Linked DNA regions of Drosophila melanogaster. The protein of the gene in region 2 interacts with the protein of the main gene of each other region in a pairwise test. Each region holds a gene or a part of one and is shown on either strand. Other genes may lie near its edges.

What was found. The genes of interacting proteins can lie anywhere in the genome.
Region 1: the proteins of ana1 (region 2) and ana3 interact in a two-hybrid assay, tested with the Drosophila melanogaster proteins (one study listed by BioGRID).
Region 3: the proteins of ana1 (region 2) and Lk6 interact in a two-hybrid assay, tested with the Drosophila melanogaster proteins (one study listed by BioGRID).

Annotation. Positions count from the first base shown.
Region 1 is NT_033778.4:12,343,351-12,351,015, reverse strand, and holds the start of ana3 (anastral spindle 3), read right to left. Parts: upstream 6,034-7,665; 5' UTR 5,931-6,033; coding exon 2,493-5,930; intron 2,434-2,492; coding exon 1-2,433. UniProt on the Drosophila melanogaster protein: Participes in the structural integrity of both centrioles and basal bodies and in centriole cohesion. Participates in the later stages of centriole assembly through the interaction with Rcd4 leading to the centriole to centrosome conversion.
Region 2 is NT_033777.3:24,528,876-24,536,608, reverse strand, and holds ana1 (anastral spindle 1), read right to left. Parts: upstream 6,034-7,733; 5' UTR 5,824-6,033; coding exon 5,695-5,823; intron 5,618-5,694; coding exon 4,008-5,617; intron 3,931-4,007; coding exon 3,807-3,930; intron 3,751-3,806; coding exon 424-3,750; 3' UTR 214-423; downstream 1-213. Other genes in the region: CG13623 (uncharacterized protein), read left to right, coding at 6,308-6,351, 6,413-6,788; CG6607 (uncharacterized protein), read right to left, coding at 6,957-7,046, 7,106-7,627, 7,681-7,733.
Region 3 is NT_033777.3:11,761,425-11,766,303, forward strand, and holds the start of Lk6 (Lk6 kinase), read right to left. Parts: upstream 3,034-4,879; 5' UTR 2,223-3,033; coding exon 2,060-2,222; intron 1-2,059.

The sequences.
Region 1 (7,665 bases), on a different chromosome or scaffold from region 2:
GCCTGCGTACTTATTCTCTTCCTCCGAGAAGACCACCGACATCTCCACCCGAAGGCCAATCAGCAGTTTAAAGAGCTTGGTGCCCCGCAGCATGCCCTTATATTTGGCACCGAAACCGAAGAGTTTCCACAACATGAGGACAGCCAGGCGGTGCTCCTCGAAGGAGTTCAGCCCGTTTTTCTCGGATGTGGGTGCTTTTTGGACCCTCTGCTCCAAAATATCACGCAGCAGGTTAATAAAGTCAGCCAGCTCCACGAGCCGGGGGCGATTACCATTGAAGAAGCACATGTTGCGGAGTATTCGAAGGCACAGGATCCGCTTGTGACTCAATGGAGGACTACGCCGAATCGTGTTTATAAGAGATTGAAGATGGCAAGCCTTTCCTCCTACGTCGTACCGGGAAAATACCTCCCAGAATCCGAGCCATGCAATCAGTACAGGTGGTCGCACTTTAAGATGTGTTGAGCACGGATTAGCAGGAAGGATTGTGTCAAACATATCCAGCAAATTCATTTTGGACAAACTCAGCCGACCCTCGGTGCAGCAACAGCAGTTTACCATAACCCTTAGTGCGGGCACCATATTCAGAGATGGCTCTTTGTTTGGAATCTCCTTCTTGGTGGTCTCGAAGTCAGCGACGCGAGCCATTAGGTGTAGCAGGGATTGGGCATGTCCCGACTGAAGCAGGGATATCTGTTTACACATTTCGAATGAATGCTCCGTAAGGAACATAATCAGCTGGACAGTAACCTTTTTTAAGTGATACGAGTGCGATAACCAAGGCCAAATGCGGATGAGGATTTTGGCGATATTCGCAGCCATACTGGTCTGGATGATCTCAGAATTGGGAGAACTATGCCATTGGGATAGCATGTTAATCAGTACCAAGAGATTGCTTATGATACTTTGCGCCTTGTGAGGTCCCACTCGCTTCACATAGACGGCGGCGTTTCCGATTTTTTCGTCATTGAGAAAATCGTCCAGAATGTGAACTACCTTGCCAAGCAGCTTCGATTCTCCGGCTGCTTTCACGGCCCAGGTTGATGCCTTAAGCAGTTCGCCGAGTGCTTCACAAACCTGCACCTGGCCCACTGCAGGAAGTTCCAAAAAGTTTAAGGCCTTCGATAGATAGTAACGGTCAAAGAGCTGATCCAAGCGATGGAAAATTATAATAGCCGCATTAGTGGCCTGGATCGCATGGTTTGGCCTTTGCTTATTGTCATCCGAATTATCCGAGGATTCATCGTAGATGCATTGCGATACAGATTGCTTCTTTTTTGACTCGAATTCTTGTTTGCCATCTTTAGCAATATCAGGATCACTGAATGCTAATTCGAACTTCTCCAACTCACTTAGCATGCTTATATCATACGCAGCAAGTTGAGCTTTGGTGAACACAAGTGATAATGCTGACAGAGTAAAGCGCTGAAATGGCGAATTAATAAGCTTCACATGCAATCCAAACAGGAAGAAATCCATGAATAGAGATGGCTTATTCTTTATCTGTTCGATGAGAAATGAGTTCGAATTCGAGTCCGTGCAGAATATGAGAAACATCTTTAATAGGGGAATCACCATGTACTCGGGACATTCCAAACTCAAAACATCGTTGATCAGCGTTAAATAATTCTGCAAGAATACAGAATCTCGACAAATCGTCATCTTAAGGAACTCAAAGTTATTAGTGTAGCACATCGAGTACAATTCACAAATTTGGGATGCACACAGTTCCACAAGCGGAATCGAACAGGACGCCTGCGACTTGAGTTTTTTCATCACATCGCTGAGACCACTCATCAAACTGTGGCCGCAGAGCGCGGCACACCACTCTGGCTTCATGGCCACCATTTTGGTGCATATGGCAACATAGCAGCTAATTACTTCACACGAATGCCGCTCACCAACTATCTTCTTGAACATCCAGGGAGTGTCGTGAATTGCTTTCAGCGAATTGTAGGCGGTCTTTAGTAAGTCATGTTTCCGCAACAATTCCAAGCTACTTTCGGCACCAATGAGCGGCATCAGAAGGATAAATACTCGTCCGGCCAACTCCCTGATCAGCATCATTTCGTGGGCATCCGTCAGAGTGGTTAAACAGCAAGCCGGCAGTCCGCCGGGTAGAAAATCCAGGCGAGGCAGAATTTCTGCTACCTGCGAGCCACAGATGGTTATCCAATTGGCCAACGATACCCAGGACAATGCACGCACTTCACTGTCACCGTGCCCGCAAAGTGTTAAGAAATAGCGCAAGACCTTATATGAAGCTCCGACATCGTTTGGGATACTGGCCTTGCTGGACGCCTTTGGCTCCTGATATATTAGATGGATCTGGAGCTGACAGATTATGTACAAGCAGTCCCGCTGCCACTCGGATCCGGTTTGAGTTGAGGTACGTAAATTGCTGGACAATTGGATAAAATGCTGAGAGTAGCTCTGCGGACAAAAATTCAAGGTAAGAAATCAATATCTAATGACGATGATCCTTTACTCACCATCAACTGAGCATTACTAAATTTCAGATTTCGCTCGCTTACAAAGCGCAGCATGCAAAGTATGCAGCGAACGTGCTGCAGCTGGCGCAATTCAAAGTGCGTCTTGGCCACGGCACTCAATTGCATAAAGAACTTGCCATACCAGTTCATCGAATCATCACTGAGCTCGTTGGACAAAAGCTGCATCATGCACTGGCAAATCAGGAATAGCTTATCCAGAGAAATTTGGCTATCGTGCAGGAGTAATTGGAAGCTGTGATGATGATCCGTTTCCAGAGCGTAGCTCAGTCCGTTGATAGCATGTGGCTGGCTGAAGCGAATGCATGTTACGCACAGATCCAGCATGGACTTGTACACCTTGTCATCCGCTTCGTTCCCCGGCGCTAAGCGGATGTACTTATGGATTAATTTCCACAAGTTCTCAGCCACCGTATCACTTAATGAGTTTCGCAGAACCACGAGAAATAGCTGAATGGCCGACACAGTTTTTTGCAGATCCTCGTGTTTGCTGCAATTCTCCGCTGCGATAAACTGACAACTTAGCTGCTCATTTAAGTCGGAGGATCTTACTAACGCCAAATCGGCCATTTTGATCTTAAGAGACTCCCTTATATCCAAAGCGCTCACAGACTCCAAAGTAATGCTGGATGGAACCTGGCAAACGCGATAGGCCATATACAGTCGCCAATGCTGTGCAGCTTTTGCCCTATCTCGCCCGAAATGGGTCGCCTCCACATTTTGTTGCAGCTCCAATCCTTCCGTAACGGCAGTGGGTATAACTTTATGTTCAATTTCATAGGTTACAGGCAAAATCAGGGGTTCCATATTCGCATTCAGTACCAGTTTGTCTTCAGTGGAGGTGATACAATTCTGGAACAGCATTTGGAACAGGCATATACTGACATCCTGGCGCAACTGTTCCAAGTGGGGGAACAAGAATAAAGCCCTCAGCAGTAAAGTGTACACCCCGAATGTGTTCGCGACTTCTAATCGAAACTCATCGTCATTGAACAGAAGCTTCATCAGGATACTCACAGTGGGCAGCAGAATATCAGTGTCGTTCCCCTTTTTCAGAGCGTTGTGCAGAGACTCCATAATCAGTCGATATCCATCCTCCTTTGTGGAGAATTCCTCACAAGCTCTCCAGTTTCGTAGCAAGACATTTAATTGAGTCATTGTTGACTTTCGGATATTCGACTTTATGTCCTTGGCCTGGAGTAATCGGAACAGGGCGTCCAAGCTGCGCTGACCTTGAAACCGCTCATCAGAGCATTTGATGAAAATGCTTCTATAACAGAATGGTGGTTGAATTATGCAGAGATCGTTGGCGATGTGCTCAACCGGTACGTTGCTTGCGGTGGGCAAATATCTATTCGTTTGCTCCTGACATTGCAGCACGTAAGCAATTGTAGTGGTGGCCTCGCTCCTAACCTCGCCATCCGGATGGAACATGAAGTAAACGTACCCGCGCAGCATCAATTGCGGATCCAAACGGCTGGAGTCCGGCTCTAAAACGTTCCATATGACGTTGTGCAATATCTTGTGTGTAACCGACCTGCTGATCAGCAGAGGCAGCACGGGGAGTAGCAACGGGAAAACAACGCTGAAATCCTGCGGAGCTAGAATAGCGTTTAGCTTCATAATCATTATAGGATAGTCGAGGCACCACTGCTGCATACGTTCCGAAGTATTTGCTTCCGAACTCTGAATTATCATTCTGCGTAACAGCAGGGGAGTTAGCGGCACGCCTAAGATATGCTGACGAATCAGATCCACATTGCTGCAGCCGGTCATATAGACTGTCTTGTTCATAAAGGAATGAAAGTGGGCCACGGTGGATTTGATCATTAAACGATATATAAGTGAACGAAGTTTGAGAGCAGGCAAATCAACAAGGGTGTAAAGCAGCTCATCCGCATCCTTTCTTAGCTTTAAATTGCCCGCGTAGAATGGAATGCATTTTACAACAGCTCCGAAGAGCTGCTTTACCAATGTCTCACTGCCCAGTTGGACGAGCACAAGGCACACTTGTCTGTACTTCTGGATTAGCAGCGACCCAGTCAGTTCCGTATTCGGATGTAATTGATTTAGGGCCACGCTGTAGGCCCGCTTCAGCTTGATCAACTCCTCGTCCGGTGATGGTCCAGAATCCAAAGACGATATTAGAGTGTTTAGCGACTTCATGCGCTCGGGCATGCCAGACAGGTAAGCGCTGTCCAAAACTATAGGTTGGATGAGTGCTTTGGCTTGGCGTCGGTCCATGCGTTTGTCATAGTTTATATTTAAGGCCACCATATCGTGCAGCACGCCGTTAAGGATCAGCGATTGCAGGCGGGGAATCCTGAGCGAGTCCATCAGCTGGGTCATGCAACTGCCTTCTACACTGTTACAATACGCCAGCAGACTTTTGACCGCGTCCGCGATGAGCGTAATGCTCACTAAGGGAATTTTTGAGCTGAGAACATCGTGGGTCCGCACTATTTCCACGATCAGCTCCATTATGTGCCAGTTGTCGTTTGTGCAGCTGAACAGCAACGGACGAATCAGCTTCATGCAATTTTCCAGCAGAATTACCAAGGCGCTCACCACCTTCACTTGCTTGGGGCGTGACGGAGGATCGAACCTGTCCGCGTAGCTCAGAGTGTTTCGGCGCAACAAGATGCGCTGCTGCAGCAGCCGCAGGCAGGCAATTAGTGCCCGGTTCACATGTATCAGGCTACCGTCAGTCATCGTTTGCAACTGAACCAGATGCAAGAATACGAACGGTGGCTGCAGAAAGTACTCAGTTGGGTAGTCGCCCATACGGATGATCAGTTCGGTGAGCTGCAACTGCAACTCAACGCTATTTCGTGGCAAATCAATCATGCTCTTCATGGTGGCCACATCGTCCAAGCACGGATGCGACCAGGAGGGCTCGTAATCTTCCGGTTTCAGATTGTCGTAAATCTGATTCGAACTGCTGTCTGCGGATTCAGTTGCCTGACTGGGAATGTCATTTGAACTAAGGCTGGAGACGCTCGGCGTCACCCGGTCTATGTTGTACTTCTCGAGAAGCAGCAAATTCATATCATCCAGCAATTCGCTGACCCGCTTGGACTCCTGCTTGTGTAGCACACGGCGAACCTTCTGCAGCTCGGCCTTGAAGCGTTCGTAAGGAATCTTGCGAATCACCGCCTCGGCGTACTCGGATCGAAGGAGTTCCATAATCATGGCCAGCACACGGTCGGGCACCAGCGGCGGTGTGTACCCGAACCAGCGGATGAGCTGCTTCAGCAGCAGGACCGGCTTGAACTGTATCGGCTCGCCCAGTTGCAGGCACCTGATGAATCTCGTCTCAATCTGGTCGAGCGCGCGCATACGGATCTCTTCCGATTCGCTAGTCAGCTTGGTTAGCTGCCCCTCCGCCAGCTGGAGGGCCGGGCTCTGTTTGGTACTCATTTCCTTAGACTAATAATACCCGACTTTTAGTTCGTTTTCACTTCTCTTCCAGGCAGCAAACGTTTTAGGATGTCATTTTTGAAAGCGTCAAACTCGAATTTTGGCTGGCGTTGCCACTCTGCTTGAGTGTGCGTTCCCTGCATAAGGGTCTAAAAATACTAAACCTATTAAAATAGTATTTCTCCACCTGACACCTCGCATCAGCAACAACGAACAATATTCCGCATCAATCTTTTATTGCTCCCTAAGAATTAGGTGCTTTTCACACATAATAAACAATTACTTGAACCTAATCCCTTTTTTGTTGAAGAACTTTTATTCATCTAATTGTTTTATTTTTATATTATTTATATGGTTTTACTTAATAATCTTATAAATTATGCCTCTGATATTTGCCTTATTTCACCAAAACTAAACTACGCGTATTAAATTGCCATATTTGTCTATCGATAATTTGGTCGCAACCGAGTTTGTTATTTCCCAGCATGGCAAGCACGGTCACGCTAGCGCTGTAGGTTTAAAAAAAAGTCGCCCATCTGATTGGACTTGAGTTTGTGCTTAGCGGGTAAATAATAGAGTTTGTTTGCCGCTGCGGTGGAGAACTAGACTTTTCTCTCTGTGTGTGTGTGTGTATAAATGCTTATCTTGGGTTTCATATCGTTTTGTTTACGTGCCGCTCTAAAGTGTAGCTGTGCGATTGTGAATACAGCCAAACGCTTTGTAACCGCTAATCATTGTTCGCCAACCGGTTATTTGCAATTTAAACTTCAACAAAGTGCTATTTCTGATCATTCTTATCCTTGTGACCCATTCATTGTTCCATTTTGAACAATAAAAAGGCTCCCTCGTGACGTCATCGGTTGGATTGTGTTGTTTTAAGTTTATGTTTTTGTTTGCTTTATTTTTGAGGCAAACAAACTTTACTCACACATACATGTGCACAGTGTACGCACATAGTGCCAAATGACACTTGATGAATTCGTAGTGCAAACAAAGCATATGCTGGAAATGAAAATGGAAATAGCGAAATGATGTCACTGGCGCACGCCCGGGTAACTCCCTCGCCCCGATGCCGCCCCTACCACACCCCAGAAACCATTTCGCCGGTCGCAACCTTCGCTTTTCCACCTTTTGCGTACATATATGTACATATGTATATCTCACCATCCAGTTGGAAATCAATGGCCCGTCTACTCTTTTCTAATTAGAAATGGCATGCAACTGCGATTGACATTCCGATTGGATGTCGCTCGAGTAATTTACAATTGAATATTTTGGACACTGAGCCAAAAAGGGGAGCTAAGCAACAAGTTCATTATTATTTATGGCTAATCTTATCGGATTGGCCACTTAAGTGCCCGATTATTGGACCATTATCGTCCCGCATCTCCACCCATTGAACTTCGACCGACTGAAGCAAAAAAGATTTATATTGCACCAGGAAAATGTTTGCCATTTGATTTGTGTCACTGCAACCCATTAGTATCAAACTTTGAATGGCTTATAAAAGATATTCCATTAAATATTATGAGTGAGTTCTAGGAACCGGCCTCATGAGACTTTGAGCTATTAAAGTGTGAATTTCTATTTGTAACTTTAAAATACGAAAAACCCGGCTCTACTGAACATTTCTGGCTTACAAACCAATTTAAAATAATTGCCATTCATTATACAGAGTGCTTTGAACTTCATATAGCATGCTCTTGGCAATTTTACCCATTTTATTCGTTTGTTA
Region 2 (7,733 bases):
TGAATCGGATGTTTACTTACAACATGACAAAAGCTACTTACATTCTGGTACCGGACCAGAACTGAAACACCGAGGTCCTCAAAGGATCAGTGGGTTAATCTACTCACTAGTTAGACCATCAAATATATATATTGTTTATAAATTGTGTACATTACTGCAAGTCTATATTCATACAACCGAAATATTGTACTTGAAACTCTAGATAGAAATTTAATAAATAATCGTCGGGTTTATTAAAATATAAATAAGTTTCACACAAATTGGTAATAAAATTGTACATTTAACTTATTGAGTAAATTTTATACAATCTTTTTCGATAGTCATTTTTTGACACAAAATTGCAAAGTAAGTAAAATATAAATAATTGTCATAAAATGGATAATATAATCTAAAACCTAAACAAACGAATTAAAAGTTCGGCGATCATTTTCGGGGCGACTTTCGATGCGTTGTCCTGACACCTGATCCTATTTGACCTGAGGATTGGCGAGTTTGATTTGTACTAAGTTTGCTTTGTTGTTCAAAAGGAATGGGTGGAGTTCCATCTGGATAGTTAACCAGGGAGATGCGACTCTCCCCGGAGAACAGTTGAGAGCCGGTGTTACTCATGGACCCGGCCTTCTCTGGAATGGAGAGGAACGATCCCACTGGTGTGGATGTCTTTTGTCTGTCGTTTGTTGCTCCGGTGGCATGGCTTACACCCACTCCTGGCGTTTGCGTGTTGTTGCTGGGCGAGAGCGAATGTAGGACCGACTTCAGAAAGTGCCCCCTTAAGGACTCATCTGAACTCTCACTGGCAACGTCGTCGTGCACTCGATGTTTGAGGAGCTCTCTCGTAAGGAATTCCCTCAGATTAAGGGATCTTCCTATCTGGCTTGCATCCTGCACAGTGGAATCGTCCTTAGACCTATTGTTGTGCTCGTGGCCTCCACGAAGCCGAGACTTTCGTGGCCGCCGTTCTGGCGACGAGGCTGTGGTACTGCTGCACAACTCATCCACCTGCTGTTGCCTCTCATGCATTGTGGCATGCCAGCACGGACTTCTCTGATCCGCGTCGCTGGAAAAGTTGCTGCCGGAGAGGGGATCTATGCCACTCTCGTTGGGTTGATCGTTGGTCACTGGGGCGACGCTTTCCCGCCGCGTACTGCTAGCCACCTCCTGAGCCGTCAATGTGGTCTCAGTTGCGTTTCCTCGACGAAATGAGTTCTTTAGAATTTTCCGCTGGCGGAGTTCTTCCTCTACGTTAAATGAATCCGTGGAATCATTCTCTAAGCTAGCACTGTCTATTAGATCCCTCTGATCGGGTGGTTGCTTGGCCATAAGTTTTTCAAAGTATTCCCTGCGCTTGGGAAAGTCTTGGATACTATGAGTGATCACGCGCAGCTGTCGCATCAGTTCACCCGGTGACAGAGTGGCCTGATCTGCATCCTGACCTATCTCCACATGGATTCGGGTGCTAGTCATGTTATGAAGATAGGCATTAATGCTAGGAAACTCACGGTAGTCAGTTCCTTGATTGCGTTGCCTGATCGCGAGTATTAAGTCATTAAATTCGCCCTGCAGCCGTTGGCTCTGATCAGCATCCAACCGCGACAGATCTAAGTGCAGTTCCTTGGCATACTGATCGAAACTAGGGAATGGCTTGGGCACCGGTGTGGCGGCCACAATATGTGATTGTCCTGGCGTTTCCACTTCTGTAATGGTCGACAGCTCGTGCGCCAGATCCTCGGCGTTTAGTTGAGGACTATACCGACGAATCGTGGCCGGAGGTGCCCTTACTCGTCCGCGTGCTGTATTATTCTGCGTTGATGACCCAAGCGAGATGGGTTCCACATCGATACAAACCTGACCCTGTGCCGTAATTGGACGTGAGTCCGCAATGCCACTATCCCTGCTGGCCGCTGTCGGCTTGTGCTTCTGCAACGGCAAGGCTTCCGAGGTCGAAGGTGTTTGAGAATCGCTGCGATCGGAAATTGTCCGGCATCTGGTTTGCTGTTGTCCTGTTGGAAGCTCAAGATATTCAGTGGACTGCCGCTCGCCATCGCTGTTCGATGTGAGGGTGACCTCCACCAGTCGCTGCTTCTCCTCGCGCACTTTCGTGATCAGCTCTGTAAGTTCGGCGATCCGCTGGGTGCAGTTCTCCGTGAGCTGTGCATAGCGTTCCATGTTTCGGGCAGATGACTCCTCACTGGTGGATAGTGCTTTCGATTTTTCGGGGGCAAAGCGGTTTGTGCTTTTATCGGCGCCTGAACCTTGTTTTACAGTCTTTTGCTCCCTTTTTTGTTGCACTGCACCGTTTGTTTGCTGCTGCCGGTCCCCTTCTTGAGTTCTACGAATTTTGCCGCTTTCCTGTGGAGGTGCTGCATTTTTCCTATCTCCTTGTGGAGTCGGCCTTTCCCTTGGCATCTTTTCTCTTGTTTGCTCTTTCTCTTTGTTGGTTTGCTGACAATCTTCAGGATTCTTGGCCAAACGCTTGTTCCATATTTGATCGAATGCGCGCATACTTTTCTCTGCATCCAGCGATTGTTGCTCCCTTTGCAGCTGCTGCTGGCAACGTATTGATTCTTCCAAGTCATTGATTAAGCTGCGATTGTCGGCAATAAAGGTTTGCACCCGCTCCATGCGATGCTCGTTCATCTCCGTATTTTCATCCTGATCCCTTTCAGCTCTTCCCGCTTCAGGCTCGGGACAAGGGGTTACGTTTCTCAATGAGTTGATCACCGACGTTGATGGTGTGGTCACACACGAGGAACTCACACCCATCTCATCGATATTTTGGCGTGTCATTCCTAGCAGACGATTTATATATTGAACCACCATGGGATGTAATGGAGCAGAAGGGGGAGCGGCCGTGGTCATATTTTTATAGCTCACTGGCGGCAGACTGCGATAGGCAGTGGAGTTGGAATCAATGGATATCTGACGCTGATCCTGTAAGAATGGTCGCTTTCCGTGATCCTGTTCCGTCGGCTTTGGCTCATCGTCTCTTGGTGTGCTGTCAGTTGAGCCCAGGGGCACATCCTTTTCATTGTCGATAGCCGACGGCTTGGTTTTGGCTTTCGATTTTGTTCTCGGTACATATTGCTTAACAGTACCGTCACTCCTCACCTTAATAATGATCTCAACTGGCCCATCTTCTTTTGCGTTTGATTTTGGCTTATCACTCTCACTGGATTTTGCGTTTTTTGTCTCCTTGTAGAACTTTCTTAGACGCTGCTCGAGAATAGCCTCCTTCTGTTGCAAATCAGATTCTCGTTCGTTTAAAGTTCTCGTTCGCTCGGATAGAATATCAGCTCGCTCCTGACGTATATTATTCAATTCCTGTGCATTGTCACCCTTTGATGCACCTGACTCACCCGCCTTCAGTTCCTCCAACAGCTGGACTCGAATTTTCTCAATGCGCTCAAGCAAACTCTTTAGCCTCATCGATTTCAGTGAGTTTGACTGCTCGGCCTGCAGGTCCGACTTGAGTTGCTTGCTTTGATCATTAACGTAGTCGAGAAGAATGGAGCTGCAGCTCTCCGAGCTGCCAAGATTATCCCGGCCGATTTGAACAGGAGGTTCGCCCAAATTAACTGCCACAGAAGCTTTGGATTTGCTGCGCGATAAGTTTGGAGGAGTAGGTTTGGTGCGCACTTCCGGGCAGGTGATAATGGCTGGTCGAAGCAGCATTTCTTCCATTGCATCGTTCATCTTTTGCTCTCGCCTGGCAGCTGCATCCGCGTACCGATGGCTAGGTATAATGTTAGCCTGGTGGGAAAATGAGTTTGTATTATTTAAAGAGGAAAAATATTTGATTTCCTTACATCGGTTGGCAAGAGCTGCGGTTGCTGTTGCGTTAGAGCATCTAGCTTTTCCGTTAATTCAGCACAATCCCGACGCACTTGCTCGCGTTCAAGAGCCTTTTGACCACGATCGTCACTAATTTTCCTATTGAAATACGTTATTGATTTCAATTTGATTCATTAAGATAAGTTCTGTGTTCTGTTTCTTTTACTGGCTACTACCTCAGTTTGTCCAGTTCCTGTTCCCGCAGATCCCTCAGCTGGTTCTCGATGCGAGCATGATCCATAGCGGTCAATTGGGTGGCATCCTTCTCATTGCACTGCACCGACTGTGTTGGTGCTTCGTACGTTCTATGGTACTTATTGCTATGATCATAGAACTGAACACGCCCACATTGAGTCGTCCTTGGGTCCTGTCGCGAGGACATGGTAATTGTGGTGGTGGACACAGTGGATTGCGTAGCAGTGCTCGGTGGAGCAGTAATAGCGGGACCGAGTACAGCTGGCTGATTCGGCATCATTTGCTGCGGTGCATACATCGGATGAGGTTGTGGAAACTGGGCTTGCACGGGAAATGGCATTGAATATGGCATCGCATATGGTTGCATCGGAAGTTGAGCATACGGATGCATGTATGGTTGATTCTGCGGCATGGGATAACAATGGGTCATCGACGGATTTGGCACAGCTGGCATAGCCTGTTCTGGAATCGGTGGAAGGTTTCGAGGAGGTTCCACTGCTGGTTTCTGTATAGCTGTTACTTTGGGCAGCGTAGCTGGAGCTTTGGCCTTCTGACCTCTGTGTATTCCCGCATCTATCACCTTGGCAGGAGCTGGATTTAATTTTAAACCCGTTCTTTTGACTGATGGCTGGTTACGTGGTGCCGTCACAGTTTTCTTCGGCGATCCTTTAGCTGTTTTAGTGGGTGATTTTCTGGGTGCTGGAGCAGGAACGGGCTCCTCACGCTCTACACATTTTCTGGGCGATCTTGGCGGGGATTTGGTGGGACTAGGCGGGGCAGATACTGGTGGAGTAGGATCTGCTTCCCTTCGTTGACTTGGCCCAGCTCGTACGGTGGTCTCGGTTTTTCTTACCAAATCGCTGATCTGAGTGAATCTCGGCCGGCGTTGGGGTTCATCATCACTGGGTCGCACGACATGGCTGAATTTCCGGTTGGTTTGCATGAACCTATCATTTATATCCATACCCTCGGGATTCTTGTCGGTTTCAGAAATGGTTTCCTCGATTTCTACGTCTAGGATTACGGGGGTAGTTTTTTGGAGACGCCGGTTGCTGCTCGGACTCTCGATGATCAGGATGGATGAGTCGTCATCGGACGATGCGTCATCCTCCTTCTCATCCTCTGCATCGGTGCTGGCACATCCACAGCTGGTTTTCCTTTTGCGCTTGCCCTTGCAACAGGGTTTGTTACACCCGCTCTCCATTCGGTTTTCTTTGTCCTCCACTATGGGCGTTTGTGTTCCCGCCGAGGCACGTCCCTCCGCATTTAAATTCATTGTGTTTGTGGTCCGCAACTCAACGCTGGCTTTAGCCGATCTTTTCAAGGCCTGCTTGCGACACCTTCGGATTTTGTCGATTCTCTCTTGCCTCTGCTGCTCGATGCGTTCGTTCTCCTCCTTTGCGGCGCGATGGGCGGCGCCCACCTGGAAAATGGCCGAACGGTAGTCCTGGTGCTTTTTGACCAAAACATGCTCACGCCACGCATTTAGCTCCCTTTGCTTGACCTGCTCTAATTTGTGGATTTGACGCCTCTTTTCGGCAGCCACATCCTCGCGTATCTGGCGTGCCAGGTGGTTTGACTTCTCCCGCACCTGGTTATAAAATTAAGTGGTCACGCTTTGTGTTACAATTACTGCGCAATGGGCTCGGAACCCAAGGGACAAGTTACCTGCTTCAAACGGGTTATGCGACGCTCACTTTCGAGATCTTTGCGTACTTGCTCTGGATCGTCCAGTGGTCCTATGGTCCTCCTCAGGTTGGCCCCGAACTTTCCATTTACTGTTAGCTGCAGAGCCATCTGCTCTATCGATATATGTAATAAATTCGTATGTGGGGCAGCATTTACGCAGTAGAAATCGAAACAAGTTTGAGCGTAAAATCAAACAACCCAACGTCTTTAAAAATTCCTCCCAAGCGGCAGTGTGACCGTAGATGAATAATTGAATGTACTAGAATTTACATGCGTCTAAAATATACCAGCTGGTAAGTAGCACGCACTCAAGGCACAATACAAATTCGGAAATTAAATGATCGAAAAACTACGTGTTTTTTTTTAAATTATAAAATTTAATGAATGCAATTTGAAAGCTACATGACAATAAACTCAGTTTGAAAACGAAAACATCACAACAGCATGTACACAAGCCTAGATGGCCCAGTTGGGATGTATCGAACTATCGACACCTATCGTTATCGTGCGAAATCAGCTGAAATTGTTTGGATTACGAGATAGTAAATAGAAATATTGAAATTACATTTTTTGGCTGTGAAATCGTAAAATTATGGCGTTCCTACTGCGACAAGTGGCCAGGAGCGGATTGCAAAGGTGAAATAAGCTAGGAAAAATTGCGTGACAAATCCCACAATAAATGCTTGATCTTCCATAGAAATCTAATCCTAATGCGGCATGCAACCGCTTCCACATCCGCGAATCCCGAACTTAGTGTCCAGGTGAGCGAGAGCTGCTTGAAACGGCTCCGTGAGATCTGCGTGGATGGATCTTTCCTGCGTGTGACCGTCGAAGGAGGCGGATGCTCCGGCTTTCAGTACAAATTCGATTTGGATAAGCAGCTGAACGAGGATGACCGACAGTTTGGCGAGGCTGAGGCCAAGGTGGTGATCGATACAGTCTCGCTGGAGTACTGCAGCGGCGCCACCGTGGACTACCATAGCGAACTAATACGCGCCGGTTTCCGGATGGTGGCCAATCCGCTGGCGGAACAGGGCTGCTCCTGCGGCTCCTCCTTCTCAATCAAATTGTAAACTTTAAACTTTAGAGAATTATTTAATACACATAGAATGTTCAGTTATATACACGTCGAGGGTGGACAATAACAAAACAGGGTAGAGGGGGAGCGGGCGTTCCCAGTTAGTTATTTTACAACAATATACAGTAAAGCAGCTGGGCGGGATGCGCGCCGCTGTCCATGCTCATTTGCAGGCGGCCAGCTGGTCACTCAAGCTGATGACCTGCTCCGTCAGCACGCTGATTTGCTCCTCGTAGTTAATACGCGTCGTAGTCTAAGGAAATCCGAGATGTCACTTGGTTCTAAGAGCACAAAACTGCAGGCACAACTCACCAACTCCTCTTCGAGCATTTGCAGGGCTCCACCCAAACTGGCCAACTGATCGTCCTTGGCCTTAAGTTCGTGCGTTGCGTTCTCCAGGCAGTTTTGCAGGTGCTGAACCTCCAGCTCGTAGGATCGCAACTTGGATTCCGCTTGCACTTTCAGTCGCATCAGATCCTCGAACTTCTTGCTGAACACACTGTAGATGAGCTGCTCCTTGGTGGGCGGTTCGGGGGGATCCTGCAGCGAATCCCGCGCCCGCTGGCTGCCTTTCGCCTCCGACTCTGCCGGTCGAACGGTGACGCCCGCCGCCGCCGTGCTGCAGCTGCACGTGCTGAGATCCTTGCTGGGGTTCGAGACAAATGCTTGATGCAGCTTGGCCACTTCGAATTGAGCCCTCCAATGCGCCGCCTCCTTCTCGAGCAGCGCAATGCGATCCTCGGAGGTGAGTTGGTTGCTATTCGACTGCTGCTGGAGATTGTGTAGAGGAGTAGTATCGCTGCCGGTGGCGCTCAGTGCGTCCTCGCTGCCAAGCTGAAAGCACGCGAATCTTTGGGTAAATATTTAAAGAGAGATCTCAATATTACCATGCTGGCCGCATCAACCAGCTTTGTTTCCAGCTCGCTGTTCCTGTGCTGCA
Region 3 (4,879 bases), about 13 Mb from region 2:
AATAAATTTCTCTCTCAGGGCTTTTGCGCAAACGAGCAAGGGAGACAGAGATATATTGGGCTGATTTCATGAATCGGAGGAGGCTGCACGTAGGCACCACTAGATGTCCTCCTATCGATAGGCCTCGATAGAATGAAAAACTTCTCGATAATTATGGAAAATTATTATGGATCGTTGGGGGGAAAACAAGTTTCCAGCTGGTGGGCTCCAATTGACAGCGTTTTGCACTCAGTTGATTGCAGCTGCAAAATCCACTCCAGCACAACTCCTAATGGGCGCACACATTTTATATGTGTGGGAGGCCAAGCAACGAACGTCACACCAAGTGCAATAAACGTCATGAAGGTTATAATCGTAGTTTGTTCACATTTCGCCGCGTTCGCTGCATTTTGGGCACGAATACGCATTTGAACACGAGTGTCAGTGCATTACGCTCAATCGATCAGCCATCATGAGTCATTTTCCATTTCCATAACTGCCTGCACACGCTCAATTTCAATTTCTCGGTCTCGGCTAGCTGGCACAGATACTAGTGCCGTCTCTCTCACTTCGCCGGCAGCTTTGGTGGTGTTGGTGGAATGGCAGGGAAAAGGAATACCCTTTTGTGCTTGGAATCTAGTATTGCTTAAATTGATAATCATATTATGCGAATTTATACCAGTCAACTGGTCTAATTACAAAGGGTAACTATTGGTGCTGAAATCTACATATGTATGTGTGAATATATTCCTATTGTACAGCAGTTTACCCATATGGATTTCATGATTTTTCAAAGCAGCTCACTTATGCCCGATTTTATAGGATATTAGTGGAATTAGTGGATGTCAGTGGTCCAACCCAACCGTATCTAGCATATTTACACAACAATCTGTCCTGTTTCATAAGATTATCTTTGATAAACACAAAGTATGGACTATAATCACTATCTAAACGAAAACAACAAACTTCTAGTTTAACCTCCAGTTAGAATATGACTAATTAGTGGATTTAGTTGATCTTTGTCATTGTTATTTTATAGCATATATCAAATCCCACATATAATTAAGAACTTGTGTACAATAATAACACCCCCAGTGATGGTTATAAAGTCCAGATGCTGGAATACCCCTAAAATTAGGGCACATACACACTTATATTCAGCTTAATGGCCCCAGTCGAATGATGCAATGGGGTTCTCTTGGCGAAACAAAACAACTGTAAACACCACACAGACTGTGCGGGGTGGGTGAAGGGAAGCGGAGTGGGTGGTGGGGTTGGGCGCCGGCAGGCAGACAGCATGCATGTTCTCGAACATCGTGTGACGTCAAGGAAATACACTGCGGCACCCGGTGCGCAACGTGGCCCAGTCAGTCAATGCTCCCTAGTTCGTTCGATTGATTAGCAAGGGTAAACGAAACGAAAGTGCTGCCTGGCCCAGCTTTGCCGATAACTGACTAGAAATCCACTGAATGAAAGCGTAGGAGCAATGGTCGGGTCTTTTCTCTGATTGGTAGTCAGTCCCCACCCAATGACAAGCAGAATAATACATACATATGGTTAGGAACTTTAGAGGAAGTATAACTTCCGATACAAAATATTACATTAACGTATATCTTTTTTTTACCATTGCATTTTAGCAGAAATATCCTACAAATCGTATTTTATAGGTACAACTTTAAGAAGCAAAGAACGTTTGTCACATTCTCAAAATAATAATTATATGCTTAAATAAGGCTTTTGTTTTCTTTTGGCATGCAAATAACTGTTGCCTACGAAATATACTTTATATTTAGGCAATACAACAATATTACGACAGAGATACAGGTGAATTTCCAATAGGTAGAAGTTCAAATTTATACGAAAGAGCTGCCAAATTCACAGTCAGAGCAAATATTTGCAATTATTTCATCATTCTGTTAACATGTTGTCTAGTTAAAATTAAACTGGTGACACACGAAGCGCAAATATGCGAAATCTCTTCAGAAGGTTTCCAAAATATATCTCATGCATCACAGTTTGCTTCTCAGCTATGGGAATTTAGTGTCAAACTCCCAGAGTTCTAGAAACTCAAATTGCTCACCTGACTGACTCTGGCTGCAGCTGTTGTCCGTGTTGCTGCAGGAAATGCCGCTGCCACTCCGGATGCCGCTGTCCCCAGATCCACGGGGGTGGTTGTTGTTATTGTTGTTGCTTGCTTTCGCAGCAGCGGCAGAAGCAGCTGTCCCGGACTTGGGCTCCACCATGTTGTTGCTGTTGTTGTTACTGTACGGTGCTCCTGGACGCGATTAGAGTGAGACAGGCAGAGTGCTTACAAGCTGGAAAAAGGGTTTACGGTGCAACAAATGAGCAGCAGTTTTTCTCAGTCTCTCGTGCTCTTTCCTCTCTTCTCGTTCAGTTCATTCAAAATCAAAATGGTGGCCGCCTATGGGATTTTTGTGTTTTTAATACAATGCGGCGGTTGATGAAAAAACTGATTCAATTCTGCTGCAGATGCTCCTCTCTCTCTCTCTCTCTATCTATCGCTCTCCGCTGTTTATTTATTCTTGGTTTGGTGGTTGAGTCGTCGTTGGTGTGGCTGCTGTTGTTGTTGTAATCGATGGCTGCTGCTGATTTCTCTCATCACACAGGCGAAAAAAGCTCAAGCAAAAAATGGGGTTTATCTATTTGCACCGCTTTTTTCGGTTATCTGCGATATTTTTTGTTTTTTTCTTCGGGTATTGCGATTTTTGCGTTTCACCTCTTCTTTGTGGGCTTGGTGCAGTAGTGCTGTTGCTGTGGTTGTTGCTCTTGTAGTTGTTGGTGAGATGGTTGTTGTAGTGATGGAGGCGTTAATTTAGTTCTATTTTATTTTCCGGAGCTGCTGGAGATGGCTGGTGTGGCGGTGGAGTTGGTCGTTAAAATTTCCTCTGCTGATTACAACACAAAAAAAATCGCTGAATAGCGGACAAAAGCCGTTTTCTTTGCGTATTTCGCTTTAAGTTTCCTTCCCAGCTACCGATCCATTTTCAAAGTTCGAATGATTCCGACGAATGACGACGAATTCATCCGTGTGGCCGGAGGTACCATTTTGGTAGGACCGTTTTTCGGGCCAACGAAAATACCACAAGACGGCAGCGACACTAGGGTTTTTTGCTTCAAATGTAGTATGGCTACGCAACTCACATATGGTTGAGAACTTCGCTGTTTATTTGGTGGTTAAACTAGCTAAATACAATAAGAGTGGCAACGCCGTCACGTTTTCTACATGTATTTTACTTGGCGTAGTGCGCCAAGCTTATAAACCACAGTTGGGCGGTTCTTTTGAATTGTTTAATTTACACCCCACTATGAAACTTATTAGCCTTCTTTATTTATTTTATATTTTATTTTTGGGAAGAATACGTTTACTCAAGGTTCGCAGCTTGTCAATCAGTATTCGCAAATATCAATAATAAAAGGCATCAATTTTCCAATCAGCAGTTGAAAAGAACTCCCCTCGACATTTGAACAAAATGCATTTTTGGGTGATTATAATTTATTAGAATTTTTATTGACTTAAGGTAAATATAAATAAAATATTATTCAAGTACAAAGTTATATATACTCATTAATATTATTTGATTCAAGTAAATATATTTCAAAGTGGCGGTGTTTTATTATATCATTTTTCAATTAAGTACAATTTACTGTTCCTGCTCTATTTCTATGGGTTCGCAGAGAGTCCAAAAGTACTCTTAACACTCGGTCCTGTAAGGTGTGTATAATTTTCGGGCAGGCCATTTTCGGATTTGGCCCGACCGGAAAATATTGCGAGCCATTGACGACGCACCTGCAAGTTTTAAACCTGGCTTATTGACTCGTGATTTCCTCGTCTTTGAGACCCGGGGATCGAGTACTTGTGGGTACTTTGCGAACCCGGACTTCAAACCTTGCCCATGCAACAATTGTATCTTTGTGTAGTTTACGTTTAATCAATGAATTTGGATCACAAACAGTAAATACGTCTTTAACGATAATTGCAGTTGAATTAAACATATTAAGATAAGGGTAGTGGGGTGGGGGTACCTTTGTTTTAATTATAAAAATATTATATCTGCATTTTACATGTTTTTGTTTCGCTACTATCGTTTTTGCTCGAAATTACATAAGTCCAGCCTTAAAACAAGTAATTTTCGTCACCAATCGCATTCGCGCACGCTCCATTATCCATAACACTCGGTTTCGTCATCAATTCAATTCAATTCAATTTTGCATTTAAACGCTACGTTGCCTTAACTTCAGTCCTTTCGCAGAAAATCTAACCCTTAAATGTATTTAGCTCTTCGCCCGTCGATCCTTTTTCTTCCCTCCTTCCTTCCTTCACATCCCCCGCATGCTGCAGACACTAAACATAAATTCAATACGTACAGTTTCAAATTGGATGCGCGGCATCGTATCGTCGTTTAATGTAAAAGGTGTAATGCTACGCGCCCTTTTCGTCTGATCCTTGCCCTAAATGCCATCCTAGGGTATTAATCCATCCACCTCTAACTACAATTTAACTTCTCTTTGGCCGCAAACCCCCCGCATTACTTATTTAGCTCCTGTAAATATGAACTGCTTATGTTTCGCTTACGCTCCTTCGATCATTTTTGTGTTTGCTTTTGTTTTTGTGTTTATAATTTATTTAAATGCACTAAAAGTTGCACGGACCGTTTGCCAGCAGCCTGTGAAGTCGATCGTCGTCGGTTCGGCTGTGTTGCGATCTAGATCTATCCTGTAATTGTCGATTTTATACCTTCGATAAGCCAATGAAGTGTGAGAAAATATGTATCTATTTCGTCATTTGTTTGTTCGTTCGTTATGCATTTTAGTTGGTTGATGATGGTTCGTTTTGCGTTTATAAAATGCCAAAATTTGTGCAAATTTCTAAAACATTTTT